Linked DNA regions of Schizosaccharomyces pombe. Changing the gene in region 4 together with the main gene of any one other region gives a genetic interaction. Each region holds a gene or a part of one and is shown on either strand. Other genes may lie near its edges.

Evidence for each region.
Region 1: mutations in deg1 (region 4) and urm1 together harm fitness more than expected from each alone (negative genetic interaction), as found in Schizosaccharomyces pombe (one large-scale study listed by BioGRID).
Region 2: mutations in deg1 (region 4) and rdl2 together harm fitness more than expected from each alone (negative genetic interaction), as found in Schizosaccharomyces pombe (one large-scale study listed by BioGRID).
Region 3: mutations in deg1 (region 4) and ppk15 together harm fitness less than expected from each alone (positive genetic interaction), as found in Schizosaccharomyces pombe (one large-scale study listed by BioGRID).

Annotation. Positions count from the first base shown.
Region 1 is NC_003421.2:218,768-228,189, forward strand, and holds urm1 (ubiquitin-like protein modifier Urm1), read left to right. Parts: upstream 1-4,566; 5' UTR 4,567-4,617; coding exon 4,618-4,640; exon of another isoform or gene 4,641-4,683; coding exon 4,684-4,836; exon of another isoform or gene 4,837-4,919; coding exon 4,920-5,029; exon of another isoform or gene 5,030-5,085; coding exon 5,086-5,093; 3' UTR 5,094-5,319; coding exon of another isoform or gene 5,320-6,405; 3' UTR 6,406-6,555; coding exon of another isoform or gene 6,556-6,876; 3' UTR 6,877-6,992; downstream 6,993-9,422. Other genes in the region: wtf meiotic drive antidote Wtf4, read right to left, coding at 2,432-2,577, 2,628-2,690, 2,731-2,922, 2,959-3,249, 3,298-3,570, 3,799-3,934; ubiquitin-protein ligase E3 Dbl5, read right to left, coding at 5,320-6,405, 6,556-6,876; hexose transporter Ght8, read right to left, coding at 7,990-9,422. UniProt on the Schizosaccharomyces pombe protein: Acts as a sulfur carrier required for 2-thiolation of mcm(5)S(2)U at tRNA wobble positions of cytosolic tRNA(Lys), tRNA(Glu) and tRNA(Gln).
Region 2 is NC_003424.3:3,835,963-3,843,559, forward strand, and holds rdl2 (thiosulfate sulfurtransferase Rdl2), read right to left. Parts: upstream 3,509-7,597; 5' UTR 3,419-3,508; coding exon 3,320-3,418; exon of another isoform or gene 3,196-3,319; coding exon 3,144-3,195; exon of another isoform or gene 3,095-3,143; coding exon 2,875-3,094; exon of another isoform or gene 2,809-2,874; coding exon 2,751-2,808; 3' UTR 2,698-2,750; downstream 1-2,697. Other genes in the region: SPOM_SPAC4H3.16 (uncharacterized protein), read right to left, coding at 5-74; SPOM_SPAC4H3.06 (uncharacterized protein), read left to right, coding at 1,487-1,557, 1,606-1,789, 1,849-1,928, 1,978-2,038; SPOM_SPAC4H3.08 (3-hydroxyacyl-CoA dehydrogenase), read left to right, coding at 5,619-6,479; SPOM_SPAC4H3.09 (type II fatty acid synthase subunit), read left to right, coding at 7,454-7,597.
Region 3 is NC_003424.3:2,581,792-2,590,712, forward strand, and holds ppk15 (serine/threonine protein kinase Ppk15), read left to right. Parts: upstream 1-3,381; 5' UTR 3,382-3,963; coding exon 3,964-4,152; intron 4,153-4,199; coding exon 4,200-5,615; 3' UTR 5,616-5,683; downstream 5,684-8,921. Other genes in the region: tif303 (translation initiation factor eIF3c), read right to left, coding at 1-1,185; tom6 (uncharacterized protein), read left to right, coding at 2,072-2,111, 2,150-2,256; SNARE protein Tlg2, read right to left, coding at 7,072-7,484, 7,537-8,029; transcription factor TFIID complex subunit Taf3, read left to right, coding at 8,522-8,921.
Region 4 is NC_003424.3:4,158,745-4,164,707, forward strand, and holds deg1 (tRNA-pseudouridine synthase), read left to right. Parts: upstream 1-3,974; 5' UTR 3,975-4,055; coding exon 4,056-5,408; 3' UTR 5,409-5,463; downstream 5,464-5,963. Other genes in the region: phosphatidylserine decarboxylase Psd2, read left to right, coding at 84-1,634; splicing suppressor Mss51, read right to left, coding at 2,108-3,244; dia4 (serine--tRNA (Ser) ligase), read right to left, coding at 5,534-5,855, 5,913-5,963.

The DNA.
Region 1 (9,422 bases), on a different chromosome or scaffold from region 4:
TGATGATTAAGCTTGATTCATTAAGAATCAGGATGAAAGAGAAATGAATGCAATAAACGACAATGAAATTGTGAATACAACAAGGAGGAACAGCGAGTTTTCCAATTTCATTAGTTGATGATAACAGTCAATTAGTGAACTGCTATTTTAAAACGAATAAATAAAACCATTATTTTAATATTCAATTCCCAGTGTATGTTATCCAACATCGCAGAATCTTTCAAGCAATGCACTTGCTCATCCATTTCGTCAGGAAATGAAATCATGCAATAAAAATACATCTGAAATACTCTAAACACATCATGATTTGTTTGGTAAATCACAATTATATAGATGCTTCTTTCCATTGCACATTCTTGTAGAGAAGTTTCGTGAGAAAAGCGCCTTTATAAATCAATAGTAAAGTTAGCAATATAATTAGGCTTCATTTTCAGGGTTCATCTCACGTAACGGAATAGCAGTGTATTCATTCACGTGTTGTCTGGCATCACGATCTAAAAATAATTAGTAAACACATTTAAAGTACACTTCTTTTTATCATCTTTACCGCAAGTTGTTGCAAGTCTGGTCAGTAAATGCGTAGAGCAAGATCCCGGTTCCACTATGTTGTCAGTATTAATTTTGTTTAGTAAACAACAAACCTGTTTCAGCAATGAATATGAGAATGCTTGATACAGCCATGAAAGTGAAAGCGGATGCCGAGCATTTCCATCCCCATTGTTGATCACCTAAATGTGAACTCAATTTGTTTACACCTTTTAATAAAACCAAGCAAAAAATAGAACTTTTACAAAAAGCAAAAAACATGTTTCTCCACTTCTTTAAAAAGTGCTTGATTCCTTTTCCGCAAGCCTTGACACATTGTGCCAAGAAAATTACAGTTACTTTAACTGCCTTGGTCCAAATTTCATAGAAGTCTAATGAGTTAGTGACTGAAGGTAAGAATAACCCCATCGTCTCACTTACAAGTCAAGAATATTAAAGCCAAAGTGCAAACAAGACACCAAAATCCAAATAATGTCCATTCCGCTGCACCATAATTTTTAAAAAAAGCGTCCTTATACTTTAGATAACAAACTGCTGGAGCATTGAATAGAATGATTGAAGTGAATGATATTAGCAGTTTTATCAACAAAGGGGAAGAATTATCTGTCGACCTGGAAGGATTGTTTTCTCTATGTGTGTTAGGAGAATTGCTTAAACGTGCATGATCTGTTTAAATTAATATGATTGAAAGACTTTAGTTAAGAAAAAGCATGTATCAAAGTGTGTGCATTGCATGGCCAACTGTAAACAATGACCAAAGCATGCAATTTGACTACGATGGCAAGCTTCAACTTTCAATTGAATAATTCCTTTCTTATTATTTACAATTCTTACCTGAATATGGAGGCAATGTACTTTCCTCCTCTGAATCATATTCTGGGAGGGGTCCTTTTTCCAAATCAATTTCATGATCTGTCTTCAATTCATCTTCTTCATCTATAGAACTTTTCAAGGAAGTGTAATTATTCTTCGTTTCATCAAGATAATTCTTTATTTAACAAAACACATGCGCGAATTAATTGCTATGATTGCGACAAACGAAACAGCAAAATCAAGAATATTCACTCTGGAGTTCAGTTCCCGCCGTTCAACATAAATAAATGAGCAATAGTCGTTTCAAAGCAAACTGTTTTTTCAATAATAGCAAGTGAAAAGTAAAATTCCAAAACTCATTTTCAAAATGTAATTGCTTCTGACACATTTATTTTGTCACTGCCCTTCTTATTCACCCCAACTTAGATTTCCTTATGCATCATTAAGAAACTCAACATAAAACCAGTATATACGTTTACTGCGTTATTACATACTCACTATTGCAATATGTCTTTAGGTTATTACGATAACAAATCATCGTTCTGAGTCACAATATTTTATTATGCTATTCATTATTTCGTAAACATTGAAATTTGTTTGTATTAAAGTAAACCATTAAACAAATGGAAAAAATGATAATTAAGCTTGATTCATTAAGAATCAAGATGAAGGAGAAATGAATGCAATAAACGAAAATGAAATTGTGAATTTAACAAGGCGGAACAACGAGTTTTCCGATTTCATTAGTTGATTTTAAGTTGTCGTAAACAAGTTAAACCATTATTGTTTGTAGCGTAGAGTATCATTAAAAAAGACACATAATTAGACTCGCATACATAATAAATAAAGACTTCGGTCCTCAATGCACATTATCCAACATCGTAGAATGCATTGGTTGGCAATTTTTGGTAATTGAAAGAATGAGTTAAGCTTATATCTCACAAACTTATAAGGCAAGAGAATAATTAAAGTATGTTGGTGCTTATTTTTAAAAAACGCCGCAGCTTCTCTGCGTTGGTGATTTTGGTAAAGAGGTTTTCCAACTGGAGCGACAACCACATTAATAAAGCAATTAGACTTCGCTTTCAACATCCATTTCTCCCAAGGGAATGTCATTATTATCGTTGGCACCTCTAAACGCATTTCCTATCCGCCCAATTGCATTTCCTATCCCTCCAAATGCATTTCCTATCCCTCCAAATGCATTTCCTAAACCTCCTAGTCGGGTAAGTAAAAAATCATTCATACAGTTGGTTGAATACACATACCTAGGAAAGAAGCTATACCATTCCCGATAAATTTGGGCATCCTTTTGAGAGCACCTGGACGTTCTGGTATGGTTAGAGTAAATTACAGGAATATATAACGAACCCATTTCGTAAAAGAAAAGAAAATTTCCTATAACAAAGAGTGAAGAGGCTTCAATTTCGTAGCCTGTCGCGTCGATATGTTTATCAAATAAATACATCAAACCTTTCGTTACAATAACGACACAACTTTGTACACCCAGCACTTGAAACAAACCAAAAAGCATATGCTTGAGTGTCCAAATTGGAATACAAACTGTATGTTAGCGTTTAGCAAGATAATTTCACTTACCAAGCAATAAAATGAAAAATAAAGCAGCCGAAATACTGCATGTGGAACAGATGAGTGCCTTATTTAAGTTTAGTCTACCATCCTTGACGCAACCAAAGAGTATAAAACAAATGACTACCCATGCGAGCCAGATTGTAACCACCAAATCTTTTTTTGAGTTATACAAACCGACCGCAATTACCTTTACACATTTTGCCAAGAAAACTGCAGTCACCTTTACACATTGTGCCAAGAAAATTACAGTCACCTTTATACATTGTGCCACTGCCTGGGTCCAAGTTTCAAAGAAGCCTAATGAGTTAGTGAATGGACATATTAACAACTTCATGCATAGCTTACAGAAAATAACAATAAACACTATTGGACATGTTATACCAATTGTGACGGAGAAAGCTACCTTGCCGAATATCGACTTCTCCAACGGGTTTACACAAACCCATGCAGTAAAAAAGACAACAATAACTGCAAGAACTGATATTAGTAGTCTCAGAAGGGAATATATATTTGGATGTGAATCTTTGAATTCTTGTCTTCTTTCGACATTGGGATTTGCAATTTCTGTAGGTCCTGTACTTGAATCCTCAGATACAGTTTTAATATATTTCCAAATTTCTGAAAGCATTAATAAAATAAATAACTTTTGAAATTTGGTTTTTTTTTTTTAAAATGATGTAGAAGGAAGAAAGTGTGTGCCCTGTTAGACGAATTTATGCTCGTAATATGTCAAGTTGTAAACAAACAAATACAACAAAAACATTGTAAATCAAAACAAACAGACACAGCAAATAATCCTTGACACACTCAATTCTTTATCTTATCCACCAACAACACAACACTTACCTGAATATGGAGGCAATGTGCTCCCATCTTCTGAATTGTATTCTGGGAGAGGACCTTTTTCCAAATCAATTTCATTATCGTTTTTTGTACTCAATTCATCCATAGACGACCTCAAGGGATAATCTTTATTCTTCATTTCTTAGAAACAATCTATTATTGAATGATATACACACAAATAGTTCAATTGTTGTGATTGCGACAAACGAAACAGCGAAATCAAGAATATTCACTCTGTAGTCCAATTCCAACCACTTTAAAGACTTTTTAACAAAATAATAAAATTGTTCAAACAAATTTCCAACTAATTCCTTCAAACAATGGCATAAAAAAAGAAGAACGAAAAAACTGAACGAGGCAGTGGATTGCTTCTGACACATTTATTTTGTCACTGCCTTTTTTATTCACCCCAACTTAGCTTTCCTTAAATGTAAGCTACGCAGTTTGGTATCTGATTTACGGATACGTAGAACTGCGGTGAGGTTTTTAGTAATTTCAATATAGCGGTATGCGCCCTGTTAACTAACAATATTATATTTATTGTTATAAGAAGTCTAATAGTATCGAATACCAATATATCTAATAACTAAACTGAGGAATCGAGTCAGCAGTTGTTATCAACGGGTATTCATAATACGGTGGTTAGCGTGTGACATATAATGATACATAACGTAGTGAGTCATAAAACACGCTAAACAGATACCAAACTGCGTAGCTGACATGACACTGAATTTCTATCACTCTTTAACAACTACAGTGGAATATACAGTTAGAACGTACATTTTGCGTTGCTTTCACGAATCCCCAAAGTTTTAAAAAACAATGGCTATAAAAGTAGAGTTACTGTAGGTGTCATATTTTATTACAATTGGTAACCTATTATTGTAGAGGTGGGCTTGACTTGCTCTTCAATAAGCAGAAAGCGTTGTCGTTGTCACTTTCAAACCTTGGCTCAACTAAGTTGGGATCATTGATTGATTATATGGCTCAAATAATAGAAAAGCCTTCTCAAAAAGATTTATTTATTTTAAATGGGACTGTGTAAGTGAACATGGAGTGGTATCATCTTTTTCAGGCTCAAACGATGTTTTAAATGATTTTGCAGAACTAACACTTCCCTGCAGACGTCCGGGGATCATCGTCTTAGTAAATGACCAGGATTGGGAACTTCTTGAAAAGGAAGAATATAACCTCGAAGAAGGTGACGAAGTTGTATTCGTCTCAACGTTACACGGTAAAACAATATTTAGCATTTTTTTTATAATATTTAAAACTAATTGTATCAACTAGGAGGTTAAATGGCAGGTATAATTATAAGACAAAACAAACATGCACAAATATCATTAGTATTGAATTTTTTTTTTTAGTCATAAATCCGACATGTATGCTAAATTTTAGTGTCTTATGCTCTAGAGACCCAAAATCCAAATCACAATTAAATCATTCATCATGAACAGAAACCATAGACCAGGTTAAGGTTACTTGATTTCTCGGTATAATTTTTTCTTCGTTAGAGTTGAGTAATTATGATTCTTCGTCAGAGTCTAGTTGTATTGTACGAGTTCGCCGAGCTTGCCGACGTGGATAGCTTGCAGTGAATACCTCGGAATAGGGTTCAAGATCAAATCCTCTATTCTGGCTGGATGATTGTGAACTACGGAGGCCTGTTCCATTAGTTACAATATTTCCTTCATCCTCATCTGATGAGAATGGATGTTGCCTGGAATGAATATTGTTATGAGAAGGAGAATTATTTGAGGAAGAATTGAGAGAATCCAAACTTTCATTCTGAATGTCAGCAAGCTCTCTTCGTAACTCATCGTATCTTTGCCCATCGTTATAACAGGTCTCAGATCGAGATACCATATTCGTCCCTCCAGAGTCGCGCTCTTCATCGAAGCCGTTCATAATATCAATCTCTTCACTATCTGTGCTATCCAAAGCAGTAATACCATTTCCATTACTTCCATTGACAGGAGCTACGAAGTCATCGTCACTTTCGACAGGAGATAATTGGCTTGTAGCACGATTATCTATAAATCCATCATCAACATCGTACTCACCTGGACCAGAAAAATCAGATTCTAAATCAGACCCCACAAATTCTTCTCCTTCGTCAAATCTCAGCCAATCTTGTGGTACTGCAGTTATTGGCGCATGTCCCATATTATTAAATGCGCGGTTAGTCGAGATATTCCCACCACGGGTGTTATCGCCATTTAGGCTGGAATCACTCTCAGCATTTTCTCCATCCCAAAACCATTCACGACCAGAATCTTGGTCATCCGATATTTGAAAACCGCAATGATCGCAATGGTACGGATTTTCCAATTCCCATTGGCAACGAGCGCATCGTAAAACTCCATCTTCAGAATCAACAAGGATACTTCTTGGGTAATGAGAATCTTCTTGTTTAAACATCCCATCAAACAATACCTCCTTTTGCTTCTTTGCTGGATTTTCATTGATTCCCACAAGTGGGAAGCCACTGTTTGAGGCAGCAACCACATTCATTATTTCATATACAAGATATGCTGGTGAAGGTTGTGTATACAGTTTTTGGCGACAAGTTGGGCAAGATTTTGACTCTTTTAACCAATTTAGAAGACACTATTTATTAGTTTCAATCCTTTATAGAAAAAAAGTAAATCTAGAAACTTTTAAAGATATAATCTTGCTCTTTCAATATTTCACTCACAATGAGGGAATTCAATGATAATGAAAAGTTATTCCAGTGTTAAGCATCAAATTTTCACTTACCTCGTAACAATATGTATGACCGCAATGAGTGGTAAAAGGTCTTTGTAAAGCTTCTGTGCAAATGGGACATTCCAGAGTTTTTTTTATTTTCTGGAACGTTTCGAGCAAAGTTTTTGTATCGGGGATTTGTTTTTTATTTTCTGAATTACTGCTAATGCGAGACTTTTTGTACATTTGAGTTGCATCACTAGACGCAAAAGTTGTGCTGTTGGATTGTGGAATTAATAGAACCTCCATTTTCTCATCGTCCAAGTTATTATTATAATTTTCTTCATCGTCTTCATCCAAAACTACTTGGCGATGAGAACTGCGTTTAACCATTGCGCCCAGACAGATAAATTACTATTGAACTTGGTATGTGAGCTCTAACGTTTCTAATCCGGAGAGAAAGCTTTATCAAAATAATAAGTTTAAATAAAATCCTTTAAAAAAACGAATTATATGCAAATTCTTCAAAGCAAATCAACCATTGATTTGTACTTTATATATTTCTTGTAGATGGCAAATACTCTGCGTATTGCAATGCAGCGGTTTACAACTGCATTATCAAATTCTTCTGGTATTATCATAAATATCATTTAGTGACTTGTAGTCAGTGTAATCTCGGGCATATGTAAATTTATTTAACGTTACAAAATGCGATTGCGTTCAACAAGCATGGCTAATAGCGTTTTCTTGTAGCTTGGATTTTTATGAGGATTATTCACAGATACGCACCGATGGCATTTCACGTATAGTTTTAAGTATAATATTTTCAACCATAGCTTTCAATGTTTCACTCTAAGTAGAATTGAACGTCTCCCGACTTAACTCGTAAATATCGTTGATTACTTACCGGAAACCTTTTTTTGCATCGTTCTAACCAGGTAAATAAATTGAACGAATGCTATTCAAAAACATTCAAGGATTAAATAACATATCAACAATTAGATACTACGCTTATTTACTGTTCAGCATACCTTTCTACTCAATGTCTACAATTCGCAATACACAAAACGATATGTAATAGCACATTAGAAATAAGGAACTGTTTAATTTTTGTTAATCCTTAACGAAAAAACTATCAGCATTTAACTAAATTATCTGTTTACATTATTATTAAAATTATAATGCAATCCCTGCCAGTTCCTCATCAACGCCTTTCCATAGTAATAAGGACCGGGCCACTCATAAAAACATTACCAGTTAAAAAGCATGCACACCAACTTAATATTAATATCTCTAACAGAAAGGACGGAACAGTTTGAATAACAACGACAAAGGAAATGCAAATAAAAAATAACTCTCAAAGTTGGCACAGCCAAAATCCAATTATACAATTCGATTTTAATGAAGGATGAATCAGCAAAAAACACATACTCATTAAAAAGAAATAACATTTAAAAACTACCGATTCGTGTAAACCGAAAGCATTGCCATTTTCGGTCAACAAACTTATGCGTAGCGATCTTGTTCATCAACATAGTTAGACTCAGGCTTAGCACGGCCTTCAGAAGAAGAGGTAGAAGATGTAATGTCGTTACTCGAAGTATCCTCCATACCCTCATTGTCAACGTTTTCAAGATGAGCGGCACTTTCACCTTGAACACCACGAGATTTTTCAAGAACCTCTTGTTGTTGCTTTGCAGCTTGTCCGAGATTCTCGGGCCTAGGCATCCAGGGCTTAGCGCCGGAGAGATACAGTTCGTTAATCTCTTCCAAGGTAAGACCTTTGGTTTCATGGGCAAACAAGAAAATAATACAAGCAGCACACAAATTACAGGCAGCGAAAATATAACCATACTTGAATCCAATGGAGTCACTAATGAAGGGAGTAAAGAAAGTAATAAGGAAACCCCACAACCAGTTACCAGTGGTAGCGACGGCAGCACACTTGGAACGATAACGAATGGGATACGATTCACCAACGATAACGTATGCGGCAGGACCCCAAGTTTGAGCAAAACTGAAAATGAAAAGACATGAGAACACAATCATAACGGCACCGGCACGATGGTTTGAGGTACCATTCTTACGAGTAAGAGCACGATTACCAACAGCTGCGTAAATGAAGAAAGTAATGGATTGCCAAACACCACCAATAATCAATGGCATACGACGACCAAAGAACTCTAGGACGAAAAGACCACCAAACGTACATCCAAAGTTAACGGCATCAAGAATCAAAGCAGAAAGATAAGGAGAGTTCATACCAGTACCCTCAAACACCTCGAAACCATAGTAGAAGTAGTAGTTATCACCGGTAAGTTGTTGAAGAGACATGACACCAAGACCAAGGAAGGTACGATAACGAATATCCGCACCTAGAATGTCACCCCAAGTAGCGGGACCACCGGCCATTTCAGCTTCACAGTCAGTTTTAATGACATGGTATTCCGTTTGAATAATTTCGTGTTCACGAGGAAGAACGTTGTTTTTGCACATAATGTCAAGAGCCTCTTCATCTTTACCAATAGCAATCAAATAACGAGGGGATTCAGGAAGGAAAGAAATACCGATGAACATGATAATACCCCAAAGCAAGTTAATACCCATGGATACACGCCATTGAGCAGTCTTGTGCAACTTGTGAGTACCCATGTTGATACAAGCGGCAATGAAAATACCACCAGTGACAGCCAATTGATAGGTGGTGACAATGGTACCACGAAGGGTAGCGGGAGCAACCTCAGATTGGAAACCGGGGGCAAGCACAGACAAGGCACCAATGGCAAGACCAGTCCAAATCTTAGCAACCATGATTTGGACCCAAGATGGGACAGCGGTAACTTGAAGAATAATACCAATCAAATAAACAATAGTCCAAAACATAATGGAAACACGCTTGCCAATGCGATCCATAAGAGGAGAAGACAAAATACAACCAG
Region 2 (7,597 bases), 320 kb from region 4:
TTACTATCCAAATGATTTTTACACTTCTTTCTTGGTAACCTACTAGGAACATGTTCAGAACGACATCTTTTCATAGCTAAATCTCGGATACTTCGAGTTTCAAAAAAATGTGACACGTTGTTCTACCCTCTTAAAGCCTTATCGAGGTGTTGTTTTGTTTTTGTGGAACGCGGACTAGATGGCTAGTGCATGGTCTAATGGACTGTACAGGAATGGTCAAATAGGCGATACTTCTTGTCAAAATATAGCACTAAATGCATTTTTGAACCCTGTATATATTCGAAAAAAATACAAATCGTCCTTATTAATACATTTCGTAAGTCAAAATGAAATTGCTGAAATGAATGTGTTAAGGTAAAGCAAATATAGCTAGATTAAGGCTCATTTAAACTTAAATTGAGTAATATTTTCTTAATGTTTTTACATTTATCAGTAAGTGCTCCTTCGAAATGCCTTGTCCAGCTCATTGAAATTCATGGGTCATACCTTCAAAGGCTGAAGTATGAAATCAGGAAGGATTCACTGAAATAAAGAAGTCTTTCTGATGTCTGATTTGAGTATACGATAAACAAATGTGAATGTGCAGATATGAACAGTATAAACCATAGAAAGCCATGTCAAAGCCGAGGAGATACAGATGTTCTACATAGATTTGCAGACAATCCTCCTAGATATTCTATGAGAAAGGAGAGGAAACCTTGGTTTTGCAGCTTCTATATGGAAAGTACAGAGGGGTTGTCTTGCTTAACCAAAGTAAGAAAGAGGCAATCAGAGAAGATAGCCTACAGAAAATTATAATTCTCAATCAATTTATTTAAGGTAAAAACCTCTTATACTTCTGATTCTTTTAGTGCTGCTATTTAATCTGTAATTATACATTATGTCTCCATGTTTGACCAGACTGAACAATTCACAATTTAGTAGGATCTCAAATGTTATTCGGGAAATAGTTGATGGTATTGAACTATAGGATATTAATAAAGTTGTCACGTGTAGACGTATATTAACTTGTCAAAGATTGTTTGAACATTGTGAATAGCAAAATGGATTAGTTATTACAGTAGGCTTTTCAGTAGGTACACACGACGTAGACATATGTTTTAATAGATATTTTCCATCAAAAAGAATTAGGTCTATTAACACGCTCTTTTCTAATAGACCTCTTAAATGTCATTCACTTGAAGTTTGTACTTGTAAATCAAAACATTGGAAACCTGATAAATTGGACAGTTAATTAATTAATTATTCAATCCTTTTCATTATAGAAAACGTTTTTTCTGAATCTTTTTTGCTATAGTATACGCTGTGTTAGAATATGATTCAATTACTTAATAACGACTATATTTTGTAACAATAACTATAAATAATAAGAGTCATATTACTATAAGTATGTTATGTCGAAGGAAAATTACAAACAGTTTTACTTGATTGCAAAGGTGGACTATATATCTGAGACAATTAACTCTTAATGTATCATTTACCAGATATGGAGGAAACTGTAAATAAAATATTGCGAGCTCAAGAAACGAGAGCTCAGTTATACAAAGAACTGGAGGAGTAAGTATTTTCAAAGATATATAAATAAAATAGGTCTAACAAAGGTAGTGCTCTCAATGCAAATCAAGAGAAAAAAATTGGACTTGAGCAAATGGGCATAATTGTTCAACTGGTGACTGAAGGTTTAAATGAAGTTTCTTCTGATATTCGAAACTATCAAGCATCTCTTACTAAGGAGCTTAAACTATTGGTGGATTCTTTACAGGAAAAAGAGCGCTCTAAGCTACAAGCGGTAAATTTTTTTTCATAAATCTTTCTATGCAAGTTACTTACAATGTATAATATTTGCAGACCGTCAAACTTGAGCAGTTAAAAGTTGTTTCTACTAATTCACCAGTTGAGAATACGCAAATTTCAGAATTGGAAGCTAGGTAAATTGAAAATTGAATTATCCAGATATAACTAACAAATAATTATTAGACTTTCTTCACTTTCTAAAGAAATCAACGATATCTTACAAAATATGAAGGATGAAATATGAAGAAAATTGGTTTAATTACTATGGCATATCCAAGTTTTCTCTTTAGCAAGAGTAACATTATGAAGTATGATTCTGAATTTTCTTAAATTTAGAGAAAGTAAAAATTCTACATTAGAAATTTAGGGGACAGTCAGTTCAAAGGTCTCCTTTCTAATCATACTTGTAATTGAGATTGTAACATTCAGTGCAAAAGAAAAAAATGTTATTCGCGTTTTGAGCAAACCGGCAAGGTATGAATAGTATTCTTCAAGCCTTTAAATGTCAAAAACCCATCAATTTTAATTCCACCTGGTTGTTCGAAAACTAATTTCTTAGAGTTATCTTTAACACGTGCTTGAACTGTATTCCCTAGTTTAATTGAATTTGGAGGTGTTCTTTCTAAACCCGGAATTAACTACAATGACTGTCTCAAAATATATTTTCCCATATTAATAGCTTCCAATGTATTTACAGCTTTACCCTTTCGTCGAAGTCTTTGACAATAGAAATGCGAAGGAATAAATCGCTTGAGTAAGTAACTTATCATAGTTCAATTCACCTTATTGTTACATTGCAGTAAAATTGTTTTTGTTTTCTAAGTACACCTTACTTATCATCTAAAAATGGTGAGCAAGCATACGATGCATGCATTCAACTCTAGAAACTTAAACTACATATAAAACTAAAAGGTAACGTAATGGGTGAGAAGGCTGGAAAGCGTTCGAGTCTACCCTCACTTAGACTTAATTTTGTCGGACCACTCAAGCCATGAGCCAGTGTAGTTTCCAATACTAAAAGGTTAGTTTTTGAACACTGTTCTCGAAATTAAGTGGAATTGTTCACCTATACAAACATACTTTTTATAGCCGAGTTTGGTGAGAATGTCAGAAGCGGTCGTACTTCTTCTACCAGAGCGACAGTAAACTACAACGTTGTCCTCAAAAACGGGTTTGCTGAATCCATAAGTCTTGGAAAACTCCTCGTCACTAAGTTTCATGGCTTCCTCGATTTTTCCAACAGGTAAATTATAAGAAGTTTCGATTGCACCTTGCTTAAATTCATCGGGCTCACGAACGTCTGACATGTTAGCAGAATAAGTTTTAACTCACTATTGTATTGTCCTTACCAATTAAAACGGTGGATTTGTCGCCAGTTGGTCTTTTACTAAGGTTATAAACCTATTTCAAGTTAGTACCGTTAATAATTCCAAAATACTTGGAGAGTAGAGTAGCGAAGTGTAAAACTTAGCTTTAACCAGAAAACATCGCATATGAAAGCAAACGTATTCCTATGTTGGTTTACCTTTTCGAAATCAAAGATGCTGACATTCTTAACTACTGTAGAACTGTAGAAAGAGCGGGTCATCAGGAGGCGAGATACGGAAAGAGTTTTAGAAAACATTATGGGTGAAAACAAGGTTTATTACAGCTAGATGGCCCCTTTCAGCAGGCAGGTTAAATCTCAGATTCCCACAGTTGACGGTAGTGGTATAAGCGTGATCGGTGAGTAGTATGATTATATGAACGATCGCTATTACGAAATCGGCAGGTTTGAAGTGTTATAGGGGCTTGTGTTCAGAGGAATCAATAAATGAAATGGATCTTTGTATTTTCGAGATTTTTCAATAATATTTTTCTTTTTTAAAACGGTAGTTTTTAAAGTTACTATTCAAGAAAAGAGCGATTCATCCATCGGGAAAAATGAAGTTGCCGCATTTTCTATGTTTCACTTTTAAACAATTACATATTCAGTATATAAGTTCATAGAATAGAACTGTACGTACGTCTTTGGCACAGTTCTTTAAAATTGCGGATCTTTAATTGTGTATATTACTATATGGAGGTAGCATATGGATTTACCAAAAAGCATTTTATGGATAATTTGTTATTCATAAAATTATGTTTGTTGGAAATACACTGACAGAAACAAGCACTCTAATTTTCAATTGAGCTACAGTTGTTTGTTTTATCATTAGGAGAAAACAGGAATTCATACGACGCTGATTTATATAGATGTATACGTAAGTTTATTTATTTATTTTTTCTCGTCGGGCCTGAAATGCACTGTACTGTAATGTCATGGCATGCTTCAATGCTAATGTAATAGGAAAAAAATCACAGTACACAAATTTTTATGAGTGCTGATATTCTCGCAATGGAGAAACGCTAGGTTTAACGTAAGCATGATGTTTAAATTTGCCAGTACAATTAGAAAACAGGTTGTAAGTCCACCTTTGATATTAGGTCACAGTTCAAATCACTTTTGATTGTATTGCACATGATATTACGTTTACTAAGATTTCGCATCAATTTTAATATTGCAAGTTCTAAGGTAGCAGCATATTATTGAAAATTGAAATTTCAAATGGAAAAGTGATTCACATGCGTCCATTAAAATATAAAAAATAAAAAAAGAAATTTATATCTAGAATAAATTATTGTTTCTTTTAGCGGCAGAAAAACTAGTAGTAAAAATTTTATGCCAATAAATAAATATATAAAATAATGAACCTAAATAATCATATTGGCAATGTTTTCCAATTCAATCATCCGAAATGAATGATTGCAATGGATGAAGGAAAATAAAAACTTGTAAAAATGAAGGTCAGTAAGATTCAGTGTTTAAGATACCTCTCTGGTTTACAATCTTTTATGGACAAATATATGAACGGTTAATTCGATACAGTTCATCTGTTTCACTCGAATACTCAATATAATTTATTTACAATTCACCCATTAAATTAATATTTACCTTATTCATTCGCTTTCATTAATTTCATTCATTCACTTAGTCCCTTATTGTACCAACCTTGTCGCTCGGTACCGAATACAACAGTCGGCGGTTGATCATAGCTAACTAGTGCTAATAGCTAATTTCCTTAAGCAGACTTTTAATCCAACTGTGAATACCAATTACGTACTGTTTTGATTTAGTTAATATTTTCTTCCTCTTTTTTTTTTGCGCTTTTTTTCCATCGAAATCAAATATTATGAAGAATGACTTACTTCATAATTGCGATACCCGAAAACATCACTGATAAAGAGGGGATATCATATTAAAGAGTGAATACCGGTTAGGTCTTAGTTGATTCTTTGGATGTTGGATTGAGGTTTAGCTTGAAATGATGGTTGTCTTTCGTTTCAATTCACCTTTACAACATTTAATTTTTTTTTTAATGATCCATGATCACAATGCCATAATTTACGAAATCCTGGATTACGAGACTCCTGATCGAGCCGCAACTGCTGAATACAAGCGAACCTTGAATCGCAGGCGGATGAAGTATAAAGTTAACTCATATCAATTAAAGAGATTGCAAAGCGGCGGAACACCGTTCCCACGCTTCTAGTACTATGCGGAATGAATAAAAATATTAGGCGGAATGAATAGATTGTCGAGAATGGATTTCTCTCTCGAAATTACGTTCATTTCCTATACATCAGGGGATTATGACATAGAAACGTAAATGGATGTTCTCCGACAAAAAATAAAAAAAATATATTATATATAGAGATAGACGTGCGCCTTAATATATTTCCAATTTACTACGACTGACTAACTAACTAAATAACTGCGACTTTATTAAAAAAACATTAATAAAATGGATCCTGTTCCTAGCACACAAACTCAAAAATGGCCTGGCAAGCATGCCGACTTAGATCCTGAACCATCACTTCTCAGATATTGTGATGGACGGGTACATGTCGGATCAGGGAAACTTGCAGAGAAAAAGACATTGCTCACAGGAGGAGACTCTGGTATTGGTAAAGCAGCAGCGGTGATGTTTGCCAGAGAGGGATCTGATCTCGTTATATCATGCCTTCCAGAAGAAAGAGACGATGCAGAAGTTACGAGAGATTTAATTGAACGTGAAGGAAGAAATTGTTGGATATGGGAGGGAAAACTTGACAAGTCTGATAACTGTAGGGATTTGGTTGATTTTGCTCTAAAGAAGCTGGGTTGGATCGATGTATTGGTGAACAACATCGCATATCAACAGGTCGCTCAATCCATTGAAGATATCGACGATGAACAATGGGATCTCACTTTTAAAACGAACATCTTCTCCTTTTTCTGGGTCACCAAGGCCGCTATTTCGCATATGAAGAGCGGAAGTTCAATTGTCAATTGTTCCAGCATCAACGCTTATGTAGGACGACCTGATTTACTAGACTACACATCCACTAAGGGTGCCATTACCGCATTTACTCGGGGGTTGAGCAATCAATATGCGCAGCATGGTATTCGTGTGAATGCCGTTGCTCCTGGTCCCATCTACACACCTCTCGTTAGCTCCACATTTCCCAAGGAGAAGATTGAACTTTCTGACCAAGTTCCTCTTGGACGTATGGGACAGCCTGTTGAGGTTGCTTCTTGCTACCTTTTCCTTGCATGCTCAGATGGTGGTTACATGACAGGCCAAACTCTTCATCCTAACGGTGGAACTGTGATTAACAATTAAATTTTAAAGGAAGACGACGTTCATTTACTGTCGTCTATTACTTTTTTGGTTTGAAATGAATAATGCAGCAATTTAATTTTGCTGATCCGGATGATTGTTGAAGTTGTACTTTCATATACTTTTGAGATGTTCATTCTCATGAAGACAATGCATGATTTATGATAGCTATTTTGGTTCCAGTATATGGAAATGGATGAACAGTGAAGAAACCTTTTAATTTCCTCTATCTTTGCTTTCATAGCATGAAGAATGTTTATGATTTTATTTATACCTTTAGAATTACGGATATCTACGGTTATACACTGTAAACAGTGACTAACTAAAAATATTTTTTTGTCCTTAAGCTATTGTAAAACAAGTTTGTATGGTTCATAAATCATCTCTTATTTAGGCATTTAAATACTTGTATGAACTCCTTGAAATGCATTTGTGCAGGTAGGAAATCCATTCAAAATTTACATAGATACTCTTTTTCAACTGAGGAAAATATTATTATTTCCTTCCCCCTGCTTTGTAATTAATTCACTCTTCGTTGCTCTTTCATTAAAGACTAACTAACTTAGTATGAATCATTTGATTAAAAAAAAGTTGGAATACCAAATTGTTATTTTCTTCATATACTGCCATACACGTGCTTGTCAAAATGGTAGAAACAGAGTAACTAGAGAAGCATGAGTCATTTTCCAAGACAATGAGAGTAGAGTGTTGAAAAATATTTAACTATTCTACAAAAAATGATGACTAAAGTAAAATTAAATAGTTACTATACTCAAACATTTAATATTCTTAAATTTCAAATTTCAAATACCCAGTTAACGTGTTGTAACGAATCCTTATCTCATTCTTAGCCTACCCATTCGTATTCTAATACAATTGTGGGACATCATCATCTTTGTCATCTACCACCTATTAAAAGATAATAGCGGAAATTGCAAATTCATTGTTAAGTGCTTTGCTAGTTGTTTAGAAATAAAATGCTTTCCCGTTTTTCTTCCCAGTTGCGCTTTATTTCCGCAGTTAGGCCGGTGATTCCCAAATTTCAACCTTTGCGATTTTATAGCGTTGCTCGCCCTGATGCTGAAAAACGAATCCTTAAAGTTGTTTCTTCCTTTGACAAA
Region 3 (8,921 bases), 1.6 Mb from region 4:
AATAGGCATGTATTGTCCAGAGCCAGTGTTTATATCGAATCTAACCGCCAATAGGGCAACTTTAACGCGAAGACGTTGATAATCAGTTACGGCTATAGTCGAGAGTTTTTCTAGTAAACGAATTTGTTCAGAACGGTCAGTGCTTTTCTTACCGCGAGCTTCGAAAATAGCTCTGAGATACTTGAAAATATCTGCAGGTGTAATTTCTTCTGGTTTTCCTAAGCCCTCAGTAGGTGCAACTATACCACGAGTAGCTACACCATCAACAATAACTTCATCTTGCCCAGCCTTACCGGCAGGCTTGGGAATTTCGTTTAATTCTGCTGGCTTCATGAAACCTTCAGGATCCTTACGGTATCTATCAATATCACTTTGAAACTGACGGTTGTTTTTACGAACACGCTGTTTTAAAGCGTTGAACGCACGGCCGTTAGCAGCATCCAAACTTTTGATAAAGGCCTTATCAGCGGACTCGAGTTTTTGATCAAGAGCAGACAAGAATTCGATGTACGGAGGAGGATTTCTGCCGGCCTCTTTGCATTTTTGAGATACTTTGTTCAAATGATCAAATTCATTAGAAACAACAATCCAGTTGTTTGAACTCATAGCGTTTTTAATAGTTTCCATGCAGCTAATAAACTCTTCATAGCGTTTATCTTTAGCACTTTTAACAACACGACGACCCTCTTCCTCATCACTACTTTCCTCGCTGCTTTCACCACGGAGAAACTTAAGACCAGCGGGTTTGGCCTCTTCTTTTTCGGGTTTCTTTAAGAAACTAGAAGGGCCAGAACGTTCAGATTCATCAGATTCCTCTTCAGATTCAGATTCCTCCTCAGACTCAGACTCGGACTCAGACTCGGACTCAGATTCATCAGAAACTTCGCTATCCTCTTCGGATTCAGTCTCTTCTTCCTCTTCTGAGCTTTCAGAGTCAGATTCAGAGTCTTCGGAAGCAGCCACGGCCTTTTTCTTGGGAACCTCTACTTCTGACTCTTCGCTTTCAGACTCTTCTTCAGATGATTCGGACTCCGAACTGGATGCGCTTTCCTCTTCACTTGATTCTTCTTCAGATGAAGAGTCATCTTGTTTCTTCAACCTTGAAGAGGTTAAACGGTTTTCTTCAGAGGAGTCAACGGATTCTGCATCGCTGTCGCTAGAGCCTCCCTTGAAGAATCTCGACATGTTGGTGGTTGGCAAGTTTTTTTTCGTGCAGCAGTCAAAGGAAGGGTGAGGACCCCCTTCCACCTTTTTGAAAGAGGTATGTTATCGTTAATAATATTTTGTGTCCGTTAAAGTGGATTAACGTAATTTGTTATTTAATAAATTTATCCAAAACTGTCGGCAATGAAAGTTTAGAAAACTAAGAAGCATGGGGTTTATCGATTTTGACTTGATAGAATGTCATGATTCTTTATAAGCAATTTCGTATCACAAATACACTCAGAAATCATTAACGCAGTTGCGGGACAAAAACTGTACATAATCAGCGTCAGGTTGTTTATAGAATTACTTTTGATGAATGAAATACGCTGAACAATTTAATTATGAGGAAGTGATTATATTTTCCATCTAACCAAGTGTATACTCACTTTGCTTCCTTGTCGCAAGCAATTATCTGCTTAGCAATTAATAATCCGAAAAAAATAATCGTTTATTTATTGAAAGTTTTAATTGTCTAAATATTGATGCTCTTGAGATGTACATTTGTTAAGAAAATGAATTAAATTATTCTAACCCCTCCCCCGAAAAAAAAATGAAAAAATACTAAAAAAGATAATGATTATGGAAAATTTTAAAGGAAAAAATTTGTTTCCGCAGCGCTACTCTTGATTATTTCGTAAGACCAAGTAAACTAAATATAAAGCGTTTTGTCTTAAAAAACTATTGCAGTATAGAATGTTTCCTCTACTGCAAAACAAAATCCATACAGCTAGCTCTTAGGGTTATCAATTAGGGTTATTGAAGCCATACATTTTACCTGATCACTGTTTATGGCAGCGATCACAGTCATGTTAAATTACGTTACAAGTCGGTATTTAGCCACGTTCCTTCAACCACTTAGTCAAAAATGGATCGCATTTCTGCTCAAAAAGATATTTTCAAAAAGGGTATGTCCCTGTAAAACTATTAATTTAACATCTTTTAGTCGTCAATAAGGAAAACTCTTCCATTTTCGTGAGTCTTGGCGTATTTGCAGTTTCTGTAGCCATCTTGAAATCCAGACTGGGAAACTTTTTGGTACCACAATTGTAAATGGATGTTTGAATTTCACGGACTAAACGTCTTCAGCTTTGGATTCAGAAAAATATTACTTCATAACGTTGTATGGTTGTTTCATAAATAAAATGAACTCCCAGTTTCAATAAAGGTTCAAAGCTAAACAACATATATCTTTCATGAATATCATTGTGCTTTGTAATTTTTGTTAGCGATCTAAAATTTGAAATATTTATGTTATCTAGTGTCATGCGAAGTACGTAGGAGCATTAGTTGGTAGGAACATTTTTACATATAAGCTAGTTCGATTCTGATATCTTGCGTCTATTTATGTTTCCTTAGATGTTTGAAGTCAATAACCAATATTCGTCCATTCACTACAGATTTTTGTGTGAACATTGGACTAGGAACCATTTCGTTTGTCGTTTATGCGAAAATTTTTATGTACGAATGTAGTCGGCGTGGAGAATGTTTTAACAACGACTCCTTCATTTACAGATAGATGCCAAACAAGAAACGTTTTTCCTCCTTTTAATATCCAACCGGTTACATGGTTGTGCAACATCCAAATATACTAAGTATGGAGAATATCCGTTTTTTCGAAAAATTGCTACTATTCTGAATTAAGGATGCGTACTATTGGTAAACATTGCGCTTGATGTTTCGAATAAGCCTTTCAATGGAAGTTGTTTCTTATTTATCGCGGTTATTGGTATAGACGGATGTTTTGCACCAAATTCATTCGTCTTTTCAAATACGAATTGATTTCGTTGTGGAGAGTAAGAGCAGGAACCTTAATGTAAGCGAAATTATCGCCTTCTTAAGTCATGTCACGGAAACCTGAAACAATATTTAATTATTTAATTGGGATCTAAGATCCAACTATTTAATAATATAAGAATCAAAAGATCCTCTTCTAGTAACTTTTTCTTGTATTTTTTTGCAAGCCAAAGTTTTAATGACGGCCTTTTAATTCATTGATACACTCTATTACGTAATAGATTGAAAATCAGTAAAACTGATTAAGGCATAGCAAGCAATTGTACTTTATTTCAGTCATCGTCAGCGCCGTTACACGCGGCTCACTACAAAGCGGTGTGTCGTCATCCCTTTCCTTCAGATTCCTCTCTATCCTTTAACCAAGCCGCTTTTTTTGGTTAAATCCTTCATCTTTCAATAAATTGCGAAATCTCTCAGTGTTGTTTTTCGTATAAATTTGTAATTTATACGGTGGAGTTGATTAGTTATTCGTTCAACTCGCACTGTGCATATTTATCGGCTTATTTTAGTGAATATTTTCGATTTTCTGCCGAATATTATATTTGTATTTGTAGCTACACGCTATAAACAAGAAAATTAGAAGATTCCTCCAAATTCATATTTTAAGCTTCATATCCACAAGTGTTTCCCTTTGTTCCAGATCGAGATTATCGTAAGCGAAACTAGCTCTTTGTCAGTTGTTCCATTAAATTGATTAGCCGGTTGGTGCGTTCATTTCAAACTCTTTGACTTTTTTCCTTTAAAGCACTTCTTTTTTAGATTCCTTTGGTTAATCTGTCAACTACTACTTTGTAAATAGTATAACTTGTGGTTCCTTTTTGCACTGTTGTGCATCGACTCACGTTCCAAGAGATCACTATTTTACGTTACTTTAAAGTGATTCGAGTGTGAATGAAGGCACTCGTATTCTGCCTATACTGATATATTCTTTGCAATACTTTACAAAAAGGCGTCTCTATTCATATGGATTCGGATTCGCCCATTCTTCCATTATCGAACAATCCTCCTGCTGCGAGGACTCATGATCACTCGCAGCGTAATAATCATGCTCGTCATGTCTCGTCTTCTGGAACAACTTTGTTTGCTCCTGTCAAACCGGCAACCAAGAAATACAATTACAGAAGGGTGTCTCCCCATGGAAGCTATATTAGCGTACGAAATTTTTTACTTGCTCTGCATTTTACTAATTAAACATATAGCCCTTAGAAGCAATGACTGTGAAACTAGCTGATACATATTCAATTTGTAATCCAAAATTCCAGTTTTCTTCCGAACAAAACCCTCGGAGACCACTCACCAAACCCAGTGAAGGAGTTCACAACCATGGTTTTGATAACGTCAATCATGATTATGTATTGTATGTTAACGATTTGCTAGGAACGGATGAAGGCCGTAAATATTTGATTCTCGACACCCTGGGGCATGGCACATTTGGTCAAGTTGCTAGATGCCAAGATCTTAAAACCCAACAAATTGTAGCTATTAAAGTTATCAAAAATAAGCCGGCATTTTATAACCAATGTGTGATGGAGGTTTCTATACTAGAGCTCCTTAACAATAAGTACGATCCAGAAGACAAGCGCCATTTAATTCGTTTATATGATCAATTTATGCATAAAAATCATTTGTGTCTCGTTTTTGAGTTACTCAGTATTAATCTTTATGAGCTTATCAAGCAAAATCAGTTCCGTGGTTTACATTTAAGTCTTGTTCGTTCTTTCGCAACGCAACTTCTATCGTGCACATCTCTCCTCAAACAAGCTCGAATCATACATTGTGATCTAAAGCCGGAAAATATCCTGTTGCAGGATTTATCATCACCGATTGTGAAAGTGATAGATTTTGGTAGTGCTTGTCACGAACGCCAAACAGTTTATACCTATATTCAATCGCGATTCTATCGCAGTCCGGAAGTAATTTTAGGACTACATTATAACTGTGGAATTGATATGTGGTCTTTGGGATGCATTTTAGCTGAACTATTCTTAGGTCTTCCCTTGTTCCCTGGAAATTCCGAATATAATCAATTATGTCGGATTGTTGACATGCTTGGTAATCCTCCCACTTGGATGTTAGAAATGGGTAAAAATTCGAAGAAATATTACAATTCTGGTTTTGTAAACGGTAGAAAAACTTATGAGCTTAAATCGATCGAACAGTTTTCTATCGAAAACAACAAAACAGAGCAACCTGGAAAACAATATTTTGGTGAAAAGACACTCGATGCTATTGTTTTAAATTATCCTCGCCGAAAAACCACACCTAAGCTTACTCCTGAAGAACATGAAGAGAGACTTTGTTTCATCGATTTCATAAAGCAGTTTTTAGAGTTAAATCCTTTGAAGAGATGGACTCCTGACCAGGCGAAAAATCATCCTTTTATCACAGGTGCCTCTTTCAGTCAATACTGCATTGACAAACAAAAACCACTGCTTACAACTCAAAGAACGAGGAACCGTTCTCATACTATTGGAAATCAAGCGGTGGTTCCTCCTTCCTTACAGCGTGCAAGCACTTATGTTTCCAACGAACCTGAAGAATTTGTACATACTCGACCGCTGCCTCAATATTATCCTCCCGCTAATGAGAACGAAAATGTAGATGAATTTTTCTAATGTCATATTTTACGTATAGAAACATTCAAATTTATTTAAAATATTTAATAGGCATGATCCATTCCAAATTTTTTTTTTATGTTGTACCAATTTTCTAATAGCTTTCGTAAAACGTTTTCAATTTTCATAAAGCATTCAAACTTTTGATGATATATACATACTACGAATATTTTCAAAGTTCCTTCGAGGCTTCAATATGCAGTTTTCAATAGTAAATAGTATAAAGCATTTACAAATTTAACGCTATATTTAGCGCTACGGTAAATACTCTATGTAGAGAGGTTTTATACTTTTATGTAGTAGACATTCACAAATCGCCAAAATGAAATCAAGTTCACTTGAAAATGGGACTCTTGCTAATGCGGGTGTTTACGAAGATGATCTAGATAGCGACGAAGAATTGGTCTCAGAAGAAGAATTTGAAAACTTTAATAATGAAGATTCAGAAGACGATGAAGACTCAAACAACGAATCAAAAACAGCTAAAAGTCGTATGTTAAAAATTCTTTTATTTTCTTAATTAATATTTACTCACAAATTTGAAGAGTTAGCTGAGATTCCGTTTGATACATTGTTGAATGCTCAAAGGGACCTGCTTAAAGAACAGCAAAAAACAAAGATAATGACAGAAAAAATATGAAACATACTGAGAAAGTTGACAAAAAATTTTTGGCGAAAGAAAGAAACACGCCCCTCAAGAATTGTCAAGTAAAAAACCAGTTTCTCGTTTTCGCGAAGTAATATCTGAACCAAAAAAATTTACTCGTGATCCCAGATTTGACTCTTTATCGGGAAACTTAAGTAAAGATAAAGTGAAAAAAAATTACGGCTTTTTGAATGAATACCGAGTATCGGAAATCCAGCAATTAAGAGATGAATTGAAGATTTGCAAAGATCAAGAACGGGCGGAGAGTATTCGACAAACTTTAAAGTCTTTACTTTCTAAGATGGAGAGACATCTCGAGGAGGAAAGGGCCGAACGTGTCATGCATGAATTCCGTGCTCAAGAAAAAGAAAGGGTTAAAGAAGGGAAGAAACCGTTTTATTTGAAAAGGAACGAACAAAAGAAGTTAATACAGATGGATAAATATAAATCTATGGAAGGGACAAAGGCTTTGGATAAATACATTGAGAAAAAGAGAAGAAGACGCGCTCAGAAAGAGAAAAAACATCTTCCAAGAGCTAGACCGTCTGCGAACTCACAGAATAAGTGAACTAAATTGTATCATTATTGGATTTGGGAAAATTTTTATTAATCATTTCACTATAAAAAATGATGTTTTATTGTACATAAATTTAATCTGTATGTAAAACTGTTGTCTTTTAATAAAGAAAGAAACAAACCTGATTTATTTAAGCATAAATTAAAAAAAGAAAACCTTCTTTTTCGTAGAAAATATTAAATTGGTCATTCATGACTAGCAGCATGGTATTAAAGTGAAATAGGGTAAATGAATTACCGAAGCAGTTTAATTGCCAAAATGACAATTAAAGCAACGATCAGAAGTATTAGAAAACATATAAACCGAAGCCGCCCGGTATTTTTTTGGTGAGACTCCGCTTTTATTAACTCCTTTTCGGCAGATTTTGCATGAACCTGTGTTTGTTCAATATTGAAATCAATACGATCTACTAATGCTCCTTGTTCAATAACAAGCACTTGTAAGTCTTGAAACATCTGCGCTAGCTCAATAATGCCTTCAGCGATCTTGGCAACAGCTCTTTCATGTCGTATAGCTTGTTCGTCTTCTCCTTGTTCTTCCATTAAGGCAACTTGTTGTATAGTAGATTGTGAAATTGCAACGTCGGATACCGTCTCGTCGAGCTTTGACTCTACAGGAGATATGTTGGCGTTTAAACCACGAAGTTCTAAAAAATTTGGGGTCAGTACATTTGTTAAGGAGAACGCGGGATAACATACTCTTCAAATAAGTAGATTGCTTTTTTCTAAACTGTGCACTTTCAGTTTGGATTCTGCTAGCTAAATTTGATAAGAAATTTTTAGCCATTAGAGCTTCTGAGCCTGTTGCAGAGTTTGTTTGAGCTTTGGTAACTTGGAGAAGCTTCTGACACCTTTGGAAATCTTGTGTAATTTGAATGGTTAATCTCTGTATTTCATTCTCTTGCTCAGTTTTGTCGGAAAAGCTAGGTAATACATGTTTAGCATATTGCTTATCAAGCAAATTAATATTTCTTCGTGTATTTAACAGCAGACTGTCTATTTCTCCTTCAACTGTTACCCATCTAGGGGCAAGCATGTCCATCTCTATTACAGTGTTATCTTTATTATCTTTATGGACTAAACTCTGCCGTTCTTCTTTAGGGTCCCAACCCGACAATTCCAATCGTTGCCCATGATGAGAGTAGGATTGTCGAAAAGTAATGTACAAACCCGTACGGTCTCGATAGGCCATTAGATAAGAAACAGGAAGAAAGAAATATAGTAGAGTAAGTAATAAAACTGTTTTCCACCTGTAGGCACACTAATTTCGAAAACACCTTTTTTATAGTGGTTCTTCCCAGCGTGAGAAATAAATGAAATTATTTCAGTATTCAAACTCAGTTTCTATTGTGACGACTTCAGTCTTATTTCCAGCATAAAGGCTTCTTAAACACTTGGTTTGTAATTAAATTGATACTTGAGTTTTTGTGCTCAATGGGTCTCAATCGATGTGATAATTTACAAATACAATATCGATGTTGTGTGAACCATTAAATCTATTTAAAATTTGTAGTATGTATCATTATGCAAGACTAACGAGGCGCTGTGTCTCCACTTTATTCAATTCCATGAGCTAGCTTTAAAGGTTGGAAGTCCCCTGCAACATAAAAACTATACTGTGAGCTGGTATAGACATTACTTGACTTTTAATAAGTCTATCGTTCGATTTATCTAGTTATCGGAGATGGAAGAAACACAAATTGACGAGCTGTATTTCTCGCTAATGAGGATTTTCTGTTCTCAGACACTTCGCGCAGCTGGCATTGACCGAACGAAGGTTTCATTATTAAACTCTTTTACTGATATTACTATCCGGTATATTAGACTTCTTTCAGAAACCGCTATGGCAAAAGCTGAAGTTGGCAGGAGGAGCTGTTGCGATTTGGGCGATCTGCGTCTTGCAATGGAAGAAATTGGTTTGTTAAATGGCTCTGAAGAAGATGTTAAAACGTTAGTAGAATGGTTTAATGGTCCACAGGTTGCGGAACTTCGTCGGGTATCTGGATTTGTTCAAGACAGTGAAACGCAAGTCAAACCTAAAGACTGGCTTACAAGCTTAATTCAAAAACAGATTCGTGTCAGCG
Region 4 (5,963 bases):
TCTAGGTACTTTTTATATTTTTTTTACAAGTTTTCAATTTTAGATTTAGCATACCTAACTAAGGAAATTTATACCGATCAAACATGCGTCCTCGTCAAAGATTTCGTCGTTTTCATCCTCGTTGGTCAAAAGTTAACCTTCGAGGCTTCGGTGGTGTCGGCGCTTTGAAAGGTGTTAAGGCCCTAAATGGAATGAACGTACGCGTTTCCATGAGATTAAAATGGATCTCAAATCGTATCCATCGCATTCGCAGGAGTCGCCGCTTGGGGCGCCTTTCTATAAGTGTCCGTCCTAATGGTTCCTGGCAGGTATATTTATTAAGCTCTCTTCCATTAAGGAGCCTTTCTCGTGTCTGGGGACAATTTAACAGAGCTCATTTACCTACTTTTTTGCGTACACCCGGATTTAAACTATATGCTTGGGTTTTTGGATGCAATTTAAGCGAATTGAAGGATCCTGATTTGACTCATTACCGTAATTTTCAAGATTTCTTTTGCCGTGAGCTTCGTCCAGAGACTAGACCCGTTGATCCTGTTTCTCCTGTCGTATCACCGGTAGATGGCCGTATCGTTTGTCAGGGAGTTGTCGATAATAATCGAATTCAGCATGTCAAAGGTCTTTCTTACTCTCTTGAAGCTCTTTTAGGAGGTATATCAAGTTCGAATCCTTTAGTCGTCAACTTTGAGGATGAAATAACTCCTGATCTTATTCAAAAGCACGAGCAATTTGCTGAACAACACTCAATTTCCTTAAATTCTAATAACCGCTATCGTAAAGCTGATGCTTCAGCTGCCGTTGTGGATGAACATTCTGACGAGGAAGCACTTCTTTGTGCTTTTACTGACCATCCGCATTTTTATCTTAATGACTCTCGTAATTCCTTAAATTATTTCTGTCCCTTTTCTGCCTTTGAAGATATTTCAAATTCCGTTCGTAGCTCATGCGGAAAACGACTCTCTCCCTCAAGCAATTTCGATCTGAATAACCTTGGAGGTGACGATGACTTGAGGAGTGAGTCATCTAGTGATTTTGAATCTGCTCCTGCTTCAATTCTTGAACACGAACCAACTAACTGGGATGATTGGGTACAAGAAGCTGACGTTACGGACATTGACTCATTACCTTGGCACAATATCCGTCCTGGCAATAAGCTGTTTTACTCTGTGATTTACTTAGCACCAGGTGACTATCATAGATTTCACTCTCCTGCTGATTGGGTTATTGAATCTAGGCGTCACTTTTCAGGTGAACTCTTTAGTGTTTCTCCATTTTTGGCGCGAAGACTACACAACCTTTTTGTGTTGAATGAACGCGTAGCATTATTGGGTCGTTACGAACATGGATTTATGAGTATGATTCCTGTAGGTGCAACCAATGTGGGTAGCATTGTCATTAATTGTGATCCTACTTTATCTACCAATCGCCTCGTCTTACGGAAGAAGTCATTAGGTACGTTTCAAGAAGCAGTTTACAAGAACGCTTCTCCTGTTTTAGACGGTATGCCAGTTAGTCGTGGCGAACAAGTTGGTGGGTTTCAACTCGGAAGTACCGTTGTTTTGGTATTCGAAGCACCTGCCGACTTTGAGTTTTCCACTTATCAAGGCCAATATGTTCGTGTTGGAGAGGCCCTCTAAACAGGATAAATCGGGATAATTTTTATTAATCGCTGGATTATCCCTGATATAAGTTATTGTTAGTATGAGAATGTGTGTATTCTAAATAATCATTTGTATGTGATGAATTAATTAAATTAACCCATTTGCTTTTGATCTTCTTTTTATTTAAATTGATATTGCGTTTATAAACCCATAATTATAGTTACTATTTACTTAATTACATTCCAATTTAAAGAATTGACACCCAATAAATTTATTTTATTGATACACCTTTAAAGTAGTAATGAAAATGTTTAAAAATAAGTATGGTTAGCTTGTTTTGACATAAGGTGGCATGTCTTCTTTTCAAAATTCGTAATTGATAATCATTACATATATACTAATATTTTGTTTATTCACAATCCAAAATTTGGACCTTAAAATTCATTAATAGATTGCTTTTAGATTAGAATATGAAATTGGAAGATGGTAGACGACTTAACGGACAAGAATTACTCTTTGGAAACATTTTGGACATTATAATAAAGGGCTCTGAATCCAAATACTTCTTGATTTGCGTGATAAACTTCATGAAGGTTTGAATCATCAACAGACCAGCCTAAGCTGGCAAATTTATTAACAGTTGGCAATAACAAGGGCTCAATTGAATCTTTCAAAACATTATTAAGAACTTCCAAATCTTTGGTTGTTCTTTGAGATGAAGGACTTGTGAGCCATACAGAGCAACGAGTCGATACCAAATCGTGAAGTGTCGGAATCCACGATGAAGAATAAAGTGGATGACTTATAAGAGGCATCGGAAGAAAAAAAGTATCATAGTAGGGGTCAAAAGGCTCAAAGGCTCCAACTCTATGCAAATTGTGGTAGTAATCCTGATGAAAATGAAGGCTGAGTGGGGAAGGCAAATTGGGTTGCTTAGAAGGAACAACAACTTCAGGTCCGATAAAATGCAATTGAAATAAACGACCTGGGAACAAAAAGTTCAATCCTTGTAACCAAATTGATGGTGGTAATGAACATTCTTTGGTAGCACCCAAAACGAAAATTCTAGTGGGTCTGGGATCAGTAGATTGAGCAGACAAAGGACGATGAAGCATATATCGTAGAGCAGTTAATGATTGTAGACCCTGGGGAGTTAACCCATTTTTTAAATTATAAGGAGAATTCTTGTGAAGGATAGCGCCGATTGACATGGGATATGTTAATAAACTAGTAATATGTCTAGCAGTTCTAGACGATTGGAACTTTGGGAAATCGCGGGTATAGAAGAATGAATCCCATGACAGAAGAGAAACTACTTCATCTTCTTCCATGGGTCCAGGAAGTTTGAGTAGTTCCGGCAAAGGGTTTGGTCGTGCTAAGTCATGATAGTCTTCATTAATTTGGCGTAGTTTTGGGATAAGGGATTGGTGAATCTTGTCCTGTTCCCAATGAGTTCTATTACAATGAGTAGGAAATCCAGATTCAGGACACTCATATTCCACTGACTTTCCCGAAATTGGACACCGATAGACTTGTTTGATATGCTCAGAGCGACGGCGAAGAGCCGTTAAGGGAGAACGCGATAAAGGATGGAATAATTCATGAGTTGGGGATTTCTTCTTGAAGAGATTTTTTAAAAACGACATAAGTAAAAAAAATATAAGCGAAACGTCACTCTTGAACCAAAAAACAACCTTCTACCGGTTTCAATGTAACTATAGGTAATGAAATAAATTTTTATGTCGGTGTTGCAGCTAAATTTAACAAGTATTGATTTAGGTGAACGTGTTTAGTAGCAGACGAAGAAACTAAAATTAAAAATGTCAAGGAACATAAAAAATACGTTAACAAGGCAAACTATTGAAATGCTTAGTAAAAAAAATTAACAAATTAGTTCGTAGAAGCAATTGCTTTGTTCATTAGCAACCGACATTCAGTAGCGAATTTTATTCTTTAAAAAAATATTAAGTATTGAGTTGACTCAACAAAGAGGTGATTTTCAATAATGTTGATATTAAAGAACTATCTAGTAAATCAATTGCATAACGGGAAATGCACTTTCTTTATTGGAAGTCTACAATGCAACTATAAGGAATACGAATCATCTCGAAAGTAGCTGTGTTAATCTAAGCTTCTATAATTTTCATTGCTCGTAATGTAAAGTGAACTCAATATTTTAGTAACAGTTCCAGCTGGCCCAACAAGACTGCAAACTGACCATACAGAATCCCAAAGCTGTTGTACTAATGAGCAACTAAAAATATATCTGATAAATTCTCAATGTTACATAGATGATTTATAACTTTACTGCGAAAATGTCTGCCTCTTATGACAAGCAAGTCATTAATTATCAGAGCCTTGCGAACCTATTCGTCTGCCACCTGACCTCGTCAAAGGCAGTAATTAAATTGGCAATATAATTCAGGCAAGATTTTTCAATTTTCTAAAATCCTTCGAATGCCCGCCTCCAAATATGCTGGATGGTCTCGAGACCAGCTAATATCCAGAATTTTAGAATTGGACGGGAAATTGCAAAAAAATACAAATTCACTTCCCAATAAAGAAATTGAGGGGAAAAATGAAGTAATTAAAAATAAAAACAAATTGGATAATGGAAATGAAATAGAACCCCAGCATCTGAGCCAAGAACTAGTTTTGCAACATGCGCTTCAGGACGCAAGTAGTCTTCCAAAACTGAAACCTGTCAGACCGTTTCAACTAGAAAAAACAGTTTTTGTTGCTTTTAAATTTGCCTATTGTGGTTGGAATTACAATGGTCTTGCCTACCAGTTAGAACCGACTCCTTTGCCCACTGTTGAAGGAAAGGTGTTTGAAGCGCTGTTGAGAGCTCATCTCATCACTGATCCTTCATCATGTTCCTTTAGTCGATGTGGACGTACTGATAAGGGAGTTTCAGCCATGGGTCAGGTTATATCATTAAATGTACGACATTCAGAAAGAAGACCTATCATATATTGTGATGTATTGAATCGCCTGTTGCCCGCAGATATACGTATTACTGGCTATGCATTTCCACCAGAAGGCTTTGATGCTCGATTTTCCTGTAAACAGCGTCATTATAAATACTTGTTTACTAAGGATTATCCCGGTGGTTCTCTTGACATTGATCGAATGAATGAAGCCGCAGCACTTTATCTAGGTGAGCATGACTTTCGAAATTTTTGCAAAATAGATGCTTCTAAACAAATTACAAATTATCACCGTCGAATTCTCAGTTCAAAGGTTATTTGCATTGATCCCAGTACCGGTCTTTACGCTTTTGACCTACAAGGAACTGCATTTTTATGGCATCAGGTACGATGTATGATGGCCATTCTATTTTTAATTGGTCAAAAGCTTGAGCCGGCCTCTCTCATCAATGATCTTTTGGATATTAAAAAGGTCCCTACTAAGCCAATTTATGATATGGCAAGTGAGTATCCTTTGATTTTGTACGACTGTGACTTTGATAATATTGAATGGACACTACCTACGGATAGTCCTACGACTGCTCCTCGTATCGCTAAACATACATATGAAACCATATATCATCAGTGGCATAGTCTACGTATTCGAGAGCAGATAGCTTCGTTTATGCTTGACATAGCAGATCATAATGTAAAAAGATATGGCAAATCGGAAGAGTCAAGCAGTACTATGAACGTTGGTGAAGGATTGCTGAAGCGAACAAAAAAGTACATCCCAATTCTTTCTAGACAACGTCAGGAATCAGTGGAGGTCGTCAATGAAAGATATAAACGTAAAAAAGGTTTAAAAGACAGTGACGTGAAGAGTGAAAATATTAAATAGATTGTCTTATGACAGAACAGGTTTTAGGTTAATTGCTAATTTTATTTTGGTCCAAAATATATTATCAATTTTAGTATAACCTTCTTAAATAATTAGTTGTAAGTAAGACTTATGATGTACTAAAATTATTTTGCTTTAAAAAGGTATTCCTTGTGTATGTAAGGGACAAGGGTTTCCGGAACTTTAACAGTGCCATCCTCTTGTTGGTGATTTTCAAGGATAGCTATTATTAACCTAGGGATGGCAGCTGCTGTGCCGTTCAGTGTGTGAACAAAACCCGAGTCTTTGTCATTTCGATATCGTGTGAGTAGACGCCTAGCTTGGTATTCAAGACAATTAGATGCTGAAGTTATCTCCCCGTATGATTGTCGCGCTGGCATCCACGCTTCGATGTCATATTTTTGAGAGGCCGAAGATCCCAATTCCGCAGTTGGCATATTCAAAATTCTATATTCGTTAGCATTAGATCATTAAAGTGGTATTTTTGTTAGATTTGATATGTACCTTGCGGGTATTTTTAAAGTTTCTACAAACTCTTTTTGAAAATTAACAATC